2 linked regions of the Arabidopsis thaliana genome follow. The protein of the gene in region 2 interacts with the protein of the main gene of each other region in a pairwise test. Each region holds a gene or a part of one and is shown on either strand. Other genes may lie near its edges. The genes, in order: RLK4 and CBSX3.

What was found.
Region 1: the proteins of CBSX3 (region 2) and RLK4 interact in a protein complementation assay, tested with the Arabidopsis thaliana proteins (one large-scale study listed by BioGRID).

Annotation. Positions count from the first base shown.
Region 1 is NC_003075.7:146,583-152,363, reverse strand, and holds RLK4 (receptor-like protein kinase 4), read right to left. Parts: upstream 3,753-5,781; 5' UTR 3,407-3,752; coding exon 1,311-3,406; intron 1,229-1,310; coding exon 868-1,228; 3' UTR 632-867; downstream 1-631. Other genes in the region: AT4G00350 (MATE efflux family protein), read right to left, coding at 1-386; AT4G00342 (uncharacterized protein), read left to right, coding at 452-631; RHB1A (RING-H2 finger B1A), read right to left, coding at 4,402-4,431, 4,601-4,710, 4,800-5,169, 5,436-5,498. UniProt on the Arabidopsis thaliana protein: Serine/threonine-protein kinase.
Region 2 is NC_003076.8:3,428,066-3,432,346, reverse strand, and holds CBSX3 (Cystathionine beta-synthase (CBS) family protein), read left to right. Parts: upstream 1-1,854; 5' UTR 1,855-1,991; intron 1,992-2,197; 5' UTR 2,198-2,204; coding exon 2,205-2,465; intron 2,466-2,545; coding exon 2,546-2,627; intron 2,628-2,712; coding exon 2,713-2,786; intron 2,787-2,867; coding exon 2,868-2,928; intron 2,929-3,031; coding exon 3,032-3,174; 3' UTR 3,175-3,505; downstream 3,506-4,281. Other genes in the region: CM2 (chorismate mutase 2), read left to right, coding at 75-308, 835-921, 1,005-1,148, 1,235-1,327, 1,417-1,656.

The sequences.
Region 1 (5,781 bases), on a different chromosome or scaffold from region 2:
GCGACGGCAGAAAGCTCAAGATCGCCGATATGGCCAACGAAGATGCTTGTGAAGGAGTTAACACCGTAATTACAAAGAATGTTGAAAGCTATAGGTGCAGCTATTTCCCAAAGCTTAGACGTTTCAACCACACAAACAAGTTTAGCATCTCTAAAGCTTTGAATGGGAGGAAAATCAGCGTCTCCGGTGGTTTCACCGAGCAGAGTTGACGGCGCGTGGATAAGCTTGGTCGTCTCATGCTCTGTTTCGAAGACAGAGACTTTGACGACAAGCGGAGAGGATGGACCGCTATCGATGGCGTCGTCAGCTGCTAAGGAGATGGTTTGTTGTAATGGTCCGGCAGAGGATGAGGAGGATCTTCTCTCCTCTCGAACCGGGATCTCCATTTTCACCGGTTGTGGCAATATTTGTCTAAGTTTTTATATTTCTCTACTTGGGGAGGATTAGAGACATGAGGATTGAAAGCAGACAAGACAAGAGATTCTTTTTTATGTTTGTTCTTGTAATTTGTGTTTCTGGTTTGCCTAAGATTAAGGTTAGCCGTGGAGTAGAAGAAGAGAGAACATGGGTTTATTGTGACCGTTCATATAGTTTAAAGTATCGACATGGGTTTATTGATTCAATCACGTAATGATTCTCATACAATACATTCTGTAAGAATTTACATATATGCCATTAGAAGATTATCAAAGTGACAAGAACTTTCAAACTAAGAAGAAAGACATAATCCATGGTTTTAACTGTTAATGTCGATTAAGTCAAATATCATACAACCAACAAATACAGTTTAAACTAATTAAACCCTCTTAGAGAGCAACACTTAAAACATTTAAGGCTGGTTTTGACCAAATCACCTTACAAAATTGATCAAGGAGAAGGTCTACCAAAAGACGACCGTGAGCCAGGGCTAGACAAACCTGTATTGAGATCCGAACAGCCATGGCCTTCACTACAGCTTGTGCCGCTCACTCCTCGGTATGAATCGCCGGAGACAAGAGCTTGTATTAATTTAGGCGGTGGAGGAACCGTCACCTCCACAACTCCTTCAAGCATCTTCACTACCGTTCCCATTGCTGGCCTTATCTCTTCATTGTCTTGTATGCACCATATCGCCACCGTTGCCATCCTCGTCACCTCTTCAGTGTTATATTCTCCGTTGAGTCTAGAGTCAACCACAGAGTCCACATTGCCTTGTATGATCTCACGCGCTGCCCATGGCGGAAAGAACCTGAAAAGGGATTCATTGATTCAATGTATATGTTTTTTTCTCTCTTACAATTGATTCCAAGTAAAAGACATTCTCTAAATACCATTTCTCTGGTTCTGTCTCTTTCTCTCCCAGTGTATCGCTATTAACAATGACATTTCTTCTACCACCGATCAGCTCGAGCAATGTCATTCCAAAGCTATACACATCAGCTTTTGTCGTGATGGGCAAACCAGATATCCATTCGGGAGCCACGTAGCCCCATGTCCCTCTCATCGTGGCTAGAACTCTGCTGAAGTCACGTCCAAGGAGCTTAGCCAAGCCAAAATCAGACACTTTGGCGTTGTAATCACTGTCCAAAAGAATGTTCTCCGGTTTGATATCACAGTGTATAATACAGTCCCTGCATCCTTCATGCAAGTACGCGATCCCTTTGGCAGTACCTAACGCGATCCTGAAACGGGTCTCCCAGCTTAGCAATTTGGGGCTTGTTCTAGACAGATAGGAACTCAAGGATCCTTGTGGCATGTAATCATAGACAAGAAGCCTATGAAGATTCTCTGAACAGAAACCTCTAAGCCTAACGAGATTGACATGTTGAATGTTCCCAATGGTGCATACCTCTGCCCGGAACTCACTCTCCCCGCTTCCAGGTCTTTCTAAGCGTTTCACAGCCACGAATGTAGAAGAACCCGGTAATGTTCCCTTAAACACCGCCCCAAAACCGCCGTGTCCGACCTTATCCGAGAACCCATTGGTAGCTGATTGAAGCTCCTTGAAAGAAAATACCTTAAGATTCAACACAGCAAACCCATCTTCGTCTTGTTTCCTAGTCTTCTTCCTCTTTCGACTCCTCTTCAACAGAATCAATGGCACTAACAATGTAAACCCAAGAACTGAGATTGACCCAACAACGCTGCACAATATAATTATAGACTTAGAGATGTTTCCCTTTGAATTCCCTTTCTTTGGTTCTCTGATATACAATACATCTTCACTAACTCCAGTCCACGAGCTCGAATTCTTCAGATTATTCGGCGACTCGAGTAAAATTTTGCAGAGATTAGACTTCTCCTTATGATAAAAACCAACACAAGAAGAGTTTCCTAAGCAAGTTTTGGCGCAAGAGCTCTTGCTTACCTGCAACCGTGACATCTTCACATCACCATCGTAGCGTAGATCACCAACGGCTTCAAAAGTATCACTCTTTTCGCCGGAATCACCGTTTTCACGGCGGCATCCGTCGCTGTAATCATCAGATCTCCACGCGGCGTCGTTCCTAGGCCGGAAACCGCGGATGCAAGCACAGGGCTTGAGCAATTCGCTGCTACAAAACCCTAATTGACCACAGAGATTGTAAACGCGGCAAGGATCCTCCGGCTGCAACCAGAACATGTTCCAGCTCTGCGTCTGTGGATCCCAAGTGTACTGCTTCAGCTGGCCGTTGGCGCCGACCATGAACCGCGTCAGCCGTGGCTCGGAAACGGAGTCCAACGGTGGGACGATGTACCAAAACGACGCCGTGGGAGTGTAAGGGTTAACGAAATGGAACCTGTAGATGTAAGGAATGGTCATTTCCGGAACGCCGACGAAGGCTTCTCCGGTCCAATTTCCGGTGGACCAATACGGTGTGGTTCCTTTGTAAACAAGCTGGAACTCGTTGAAGCTTGGACTCAGTCTCAGAGAGTAAAACCCCGGCGAAGGATCGAAGAGACTCCGCCACGAAGTCATAGCTGTTAGACCGGTGACATTCATCCCCGGAAGCCACGTGTCAGTCGGATTGTCAAAGCTCTGCCAAACCGGAGAACCGTCGTCGTTGATCAAAATCAGATTCCCGGTTTCAGAGAACCGGAAATCGGTTCCGGGTTGTTTGTTATCCGTCTGCCAAACGACGCCGTCACGGAGGTTACTGACGATTAGGTATCCGGTGGAGGTGAGCTCGAGAGTGGAAGAGTCAGGATCCGAAACGGGTCGGATTCGATTGGCGACCCAAACGTGGGTGGGAGTTGGCATAGAAGCGTAAGAGATACCCAAGTACCAATTGGAGGAACCATTGGTGGTGCTGAAGAAACCAAGCCGGAAAATAGCTTTGAAACTCAGAATGGTTTGGTTTCCTTTGATGATAACTTTGCTTTGTACAGATGGTGGTGGAAGAAGGAAGAGGAGAAGAAGAAGAGGAAGATAAGTAGTACATGGCATTGGGTACTCTCGGGTGGGTTAATGTTTGGTTGGTGGTGTTGATGATATTTTCTCGGTGGTGATACTGATAGACATGGGAAAGAAAAAACAAAAGCTCTCTTTAACTATTAGACGTTTGAAATGTGGAGAGAATTTTTGCAAGATAAAATCTGTAAAAGCTGTGACTTCATACCTCCAAAAAGTAAATTCATTCAGAAAAAGGTTTTGGAACTATAGTTCCTAACGCCAAAGTTACTATATTAACCCTCATTCATCAACACCGGCAGGATAGGAACTAAAAGAAAGAGAAGGGCAGAATAGGAATTGAGAAGAGGGAGGTGGCAGTGGCAGACATAAGTGGCTAGAAGTCAAAGCCATGACATCTTTTTTCTCTTCTTCTTAAATGATTCCTAACCTTTTTCTTAATTATTTCTAATTAATTACTTTATGCAGCAGACAAAAGGTGTTAATCAAAGAATCATTTTCTTTTTAATATCTTACACACGACAAGACTAGTCGCATGTGGATCAATTTACTATTTGGAATATTCAGTTTCTCTTTAGACTATGGAATTATACTATATCCATATCTAATAGAATCTCTCTCTTTCTTTAACCAAACAAACAAACAAAATCATGCTTATTATGATTCCCAGATCAGGGCATTAACCAATATTGCTAAGATAGAATCATGGATCAAGACAAGAGTGGACATGATTTTGAAGATGCAAACAATCAAAATACTGAAATGGTGGTCCTTTCTTCTCTATCACACCCCGGAGATCACAAACGAACGAACAAGAAGCTAGGTAATATTTACAATTGTTATGTATATCTATATGATCGCACAAGGGCAAAACGAACATAACCAATACGACAAAACTAAGTGGAAATGTGGAGACCCAACACTTAAAGTGTGTGAGGAAGAAACAAAATAGATGTATGCTAATTATGTAGTAGACTAACCAAACAAAGCGCCACACCTTCAAACTTTCAAGCCAGGGGATAGTAATGATGCTAGTTCAAGCGATCATCAAACACAACTTCCTGTGTTAAAGAAGACAGAATGTTAGTTAGTTGCCAAATTGTGCACTTATTTACCCTAATTACGCAACCATCAATGGTTGATCTAACTACGAATTCCCAACAGTAAAGTGCAATTCTTTGATCATCAAGACAATCGATCTGCCAAAGAAAGCTCAAGCGGGAAACACACCTTATCACATATTGGGCATCTATCGCTTCTTTCAATCCACTCCAGAAGACAAGAGAGGTGAAATTCGTGCTCACACTTTGTCGTTAGTCTTGGATTCTCAACATCATAATCTGCATAGTGCAATCCACGACTCTGTTTAGCTCTCTCATAAAAACAAGAGTTAAAGAGTTCTTTTTATTCAACGGTCTTGATTTCTTACCTTCAAAGCAAATAGGACAACAGTCCTCCTCTTCATCAACCAATATCTTCAATCCTTGATGTTTCGAGAAATCTGATTTCCTCGGTGAAAGAATGACTGAGCTGGCTAGAGTTTTACAGTCTGATTCCCCAAGATCTTCACACGTCGCTAGCGTTTCAAAACTGCTTCCACTCATCCTTCCTTTGATGGACTCAGAATCTGTGCATTGTGGTCGCCCCAAAAGCAAATCATATGGAAGAGGAGCAGGAGCACAAAAGGTGTCAGGTATAGATGTCTCCAAACCTATATCAACCAAGAGGCCTGTGGTGAATGCTGATCCCACACCAGCACGGGTTCCTGAAGGGACAAGCTCTTCAAAAGATTCTGGACACTGCGTAACAAACTTTTAATAAATAGAAACTTTGTAGAGTGTCACAATCAAATAACTGTAGATAATTCAGAAGACATTTTTCAAACACAGCTCACTCACGACCTCTAGTAGTCTACTATCGACCACTCAAGCGAGATTGTTACAAGAAATTGTTGAGATTCTAAAATCATGCTCTTGTCCCGATTTGTTTTAACTAAAATCATAATCTATAGATAGTCAGTAGTGCAAAGCAACACAAATGCAAGATGGTGAAAAGGATTACTGACATAATAGTAAACAGGTGTTCCAACAAGATGTGACTTCCTCGAAGAACTACAGCAACCTCCCATTTTCACCAGCTATAGTAATAATTAAGCAAGAGTAGCGAACAACAGTCCTTGAAGCATTTTACAGATGCACTGCCACTGCAGGAAAAGAGTGAACTGAACAACGATTACTTGAATGCAACAAGATTAATCAAAAGTACTCTTAAGAAACCCCAATAAAAAAAAAGTGATTATTACAGTGTTAGTAAGCAAAATGACAAAAGAAAAGTTGGTCTGATGGCAAAGTCATCCATAAGAAACACAAAGGTATGGGAAGAGTGAATAGTGAGAAGAACATTACGAAACA
Region 2 (4,281 bases):
CATCTCTATAGTTTCTATGAATGAATTGTTTGCTTACTTATACACCATCAAGCAGGGGATACAGTTGAAGCGGCATGGCAAGAGTCTTCGAATCGGATTCGGGTTCTGGTTGTTCCAATGTACTGAGTCTTGACTTAATCAGAGAATCGTTGATTAGGCAAGAAGACACCATCGTCTTCAGCTTGATCGAGAGAGCTAAGTTTCCACTCAATTCTCCTGCTTTCGAGGAATCTCGTTGTCTAGATTCTGGAAGTTTCTCTTCTCTCACTGAGTTTTTCGTCAGAGAGACAGAAATCATCCAAGCTAAGGTTTGCTTCCCATTTTAAAAACTGATCCTTTTGCTAAAATTAGATACAGAGATATCAATGCTTCGTTTGATTCGGTTTTGGTATAGCATTGTTTTAGATTGTTCCATGAAATTAGCAGAAAGTAAGCTACAAGTCAACTTGATTGAGGTTTTAATAAGCCTGGATTCTTGAATTAGCATGCCTTTTGTTTGCTATGTGTCTCCTCCATTGCAAAAGATGATAACTTGGCTTTGCCTGTATAATCTCATTGTGTGATAACTTCTTGTTTTGATTTGAGTGCGAATCTGCCAATAAAAGGCTCCGACTTTATCATATGTATACGAGATTTCCTTATGAAAACCTCATTATATGTGGAGATTGGAAATGGAGGACTATTGTTTTCTATTTTTATAATGTCTGAAAGTCTTATTTCATTAATATATTCATCTCATTGGTTTATATATATTCTTAAGTTTCTGGATATTGAGCCTATATGTTTGTTCATTGGTTTACTTGAAAACCTTATGTGTATGTGTATATTATATAGGTAGGAAGATATGAATACCCGGAAGAGAATCCTTTCTTCCTTGAGAACATTCCTCACTCGGTTTTTCCTACGCACAAATATCCATCGGTATGTATGTAGTAAAGTCTTGAGCATTTTTCTTAGAACTCTGAATGCTTTAGTCTAACAGTACTTTTCTTTCTCTTGATTAGGCTTTGCACCCTAAGGCTCTATCTGTTAACATTAACAAACAAATCTGGGATATTTACTTTAAAGAATTGCTTCCTTTGTTTGTCAAACCTGGCGATGATGGCAACTATCCATCAACTGCTGCTAGTGATCTCGCCTGTTTACAAGTAAGGAGATGATTGAGTATACATAACAAAATCAGCTCTACTTTTGGCTAATGATGTCTGATCTGATATGTTTGATCTTGTGTAAGGCTCTTTCGAGAAGGATTCACTACGGTAAATTTGTAGCTGAGGTCAAATTCAGAGATGCTCCACAAGATTACGAGCCTGCGATTCGCGCTCAGGTAAACTTAGTGTCACATTGTGGATTCTGTTTCACTGTGGTTTTAAAATGATATGATTCACACCATAATCGTTTGATTTTCGACTGTAGGATAGAGAGGCTTTGATGAAGCTGTTGACGTTTGAGAAAGTAGAAGAAATGGTTAAGAAGAGAGTGCAGAAGAAAGCAGAAACGTTTGGACAAGAAGTAAAATTCAACTCTGGCTATGGCGATGAGAGTAAGAAGAAGTATAAAGTGGATCCATTGCTTGCCTCTCGCATCTACGGGGAATGGCTTATCCCTCTCACTAAGCTCGTTGAGGTTGAGTATCTTCTACGTCGTCTCGATTGAATATTATTTGTATCCAAATCTGGCCCTGTTAAAGTGGGCCTTAAGTTTTTAAGTGGGCCTGTTGATATTTGTCAGGATATGATAGAATAATTGAATGAAGCAACACAGTCATCACTATTTTAAATTTTGTAAGATATTTTAAGGAAAAGAAAAAAGTCGCCAGTATTTCGCTATCGAAAATCGTTTATTTATATATTTGATGATTATCCATTAGAGAACCCTTCAAAAAACTCTCCACTCAACTCTCTCTGGTCAGCTGTCTCTTCCCCATTCTCTAGGGTTTTCAAGCTCAACCTCAAGCTCCACTACGATCTCTTCTTCTTCTCTAATCTCAGGTCTGAATCTCTCCTTCTTCACTATCTCTGATGCTTTTTACTGAATCTGATTGAGGAAACTTTCCATTTTAGGATTTGTTGATCAAATACACTCGGTTTAAGAATTAGGATCATTCTCTTTTCGATCTAGTTTCATTAGACTCGTTCTTTTAGCTCTTGATTTTATAGATCTCGTTTTGAGGAACTGATTATTTGGTTGTTGACAGTTGAAAGATGCAAGGTGTGATTCGATCCTTCGTCTCCGGTGGAAATGTTGTGAAAGGCTCTGTGCTGCAACATCTCCGTGTGATTAACCCGGCGATTCAGCCTTCTGTGTTTTGTTCACGCTCTGAATCAACTCAACCTGCACGTATGGAGGAATCTGGATTCGAGAGCACAACTATTTCCGATGTCATGAAATCCAAAGGCAAAAGTGCTGATGGATCTTGGCTTTGGTGTACTACTGATGACACTGTTTATGATGCTGTTAAATCCGTATGCTTATACTACTCTCTTTTTCCTTTTTTAGATATCTCGATGTGGATTTGGAATTGATTGTGTTTGATTTTGTTTAGATGACACAACACAATGTTGGTGCCTTGGTGGTTGTGAAACCTGGTGAGCAACAAGCTCTTGCTGGTATCATTACAGAGAGAGGTAAAATTAGATCTAATCATTAATAATTTTTTTGTTGTGTCTTGTGGTATGTGTGATTCACTTTTCGGCATTGTGATTTCTCTAGATTATCTACGGAAGATCATTGTGCAAGGGAGATCATCCAAATCAACAAAAGTTGGAGACATTATGACTGAAGAGGTATGTAAATGCACGATTGTACGATTTTTTTTTTGCTTTTGTGGATTGAAACTGACTGGATCTGTGAACTGGCAATTGCAGAATAAGCTTATCACTGTGACACCGGAGACCAAGGTCTTGCGTGCTATGCAACTGATGACAGGTAAGCAGACAACTTGATATTTTTCCACTAAAGATACAAGCTTTTGGGTTTAAAACCTACTGAAGCAAATAAAAATGCGGGTTTGTGTTTTTGTAATGTACAGATAACCGAATCAGGCATATTCCGGTAATCAAAGACAAGGGCATGATTGGAATGGTGTCCATAGGAGATGTTGTCCGTGCAGTGGTTCATGAGCATAGAGAGGAGCTTCAACGCCTAAATGCGTATATTCAGGGAGGTTACTAGATCTTGAATAATGGAAAGAAAAGAGTTCCCTGTTGTGTCGTCTGGTCTTGTGCTGCTGAATCTGAAAAGCTTCCAGATCAGTGTAAATATGCAGTCCTCGTTGTTATTGTTGTTGTTGTTGTGTTTGATGTTTTGTGTTGTTTCGTTGTTTAACTTGTCAAAACTAAGGCCTTGTGCTGCTTCTCTTCTTGCGCTTACTTAGCAAGAGAATAAAACCAAAAACTCTGATCTCTTTATGAAAGATATGATGTTTGTTTTTGTTATCAAATCTTGCGTCAAGTATCCATGTGTGTTATGAAATAATAGAATTACTTTGAAAATTTGATTTCGGTACAAAGTTTCCGTGTCTTTGGACCATGAAAAATATCTTAACAAGTAAACCAATTCTTTGAATACAAACAAGTAAACCAAGGCAAAATATAAAACGATAGATTTTCTTCAAATCAAATCGATTATGGTGTGGTCACAATATCGTCTCTCAAGGGATCAAACTCCGGTGACCAAGCTTGCACCATGAGATAGCGATCAAACGCCCTCCATGGACCTCCTGTCAACGCTGCCATGTATTCCTCCTCCGCTTCGAACCGAATCATGAAAAACTTACGAGGGAGATCCACAACAGACATTGCTCCTCGTGGTTTCCACATCTCTCGAAGCTTTCTACTTAATGCTGATATTGTCATGTTACGCCCGGGCACTTTCACGATCAAGCTGTTCTTCAACAAACCATTCATCGCCGCCAATACCTCACTGCCAATTGTTATCACTGGTTCTCCATCCTCACCATCAGGGAACTCCAGTGTCATTTGCTCAGACACAAACTCATCATCTAAGATATCATTCGGATTTAGGATACCACCTAAATGTCCCCCCACCACTTTCTTCACCCACGAACCCGGTGCATCAGGAGGGTCTCCCGGAGAATGACCTTTCTCTCCTAGGTCCGTCATGGTCACATCTTGCGTTTCAGATCTCAAGCCTCCGGCGGCGTCGCCCATTTTCTCTCTATCGATTATATTGAGACCACATTTTAACACAATCTTAAAAATGTATAGCAAATGCTTAAAAATCTTGATTGACTTTAATTAATCATGGTTTATCGGATTG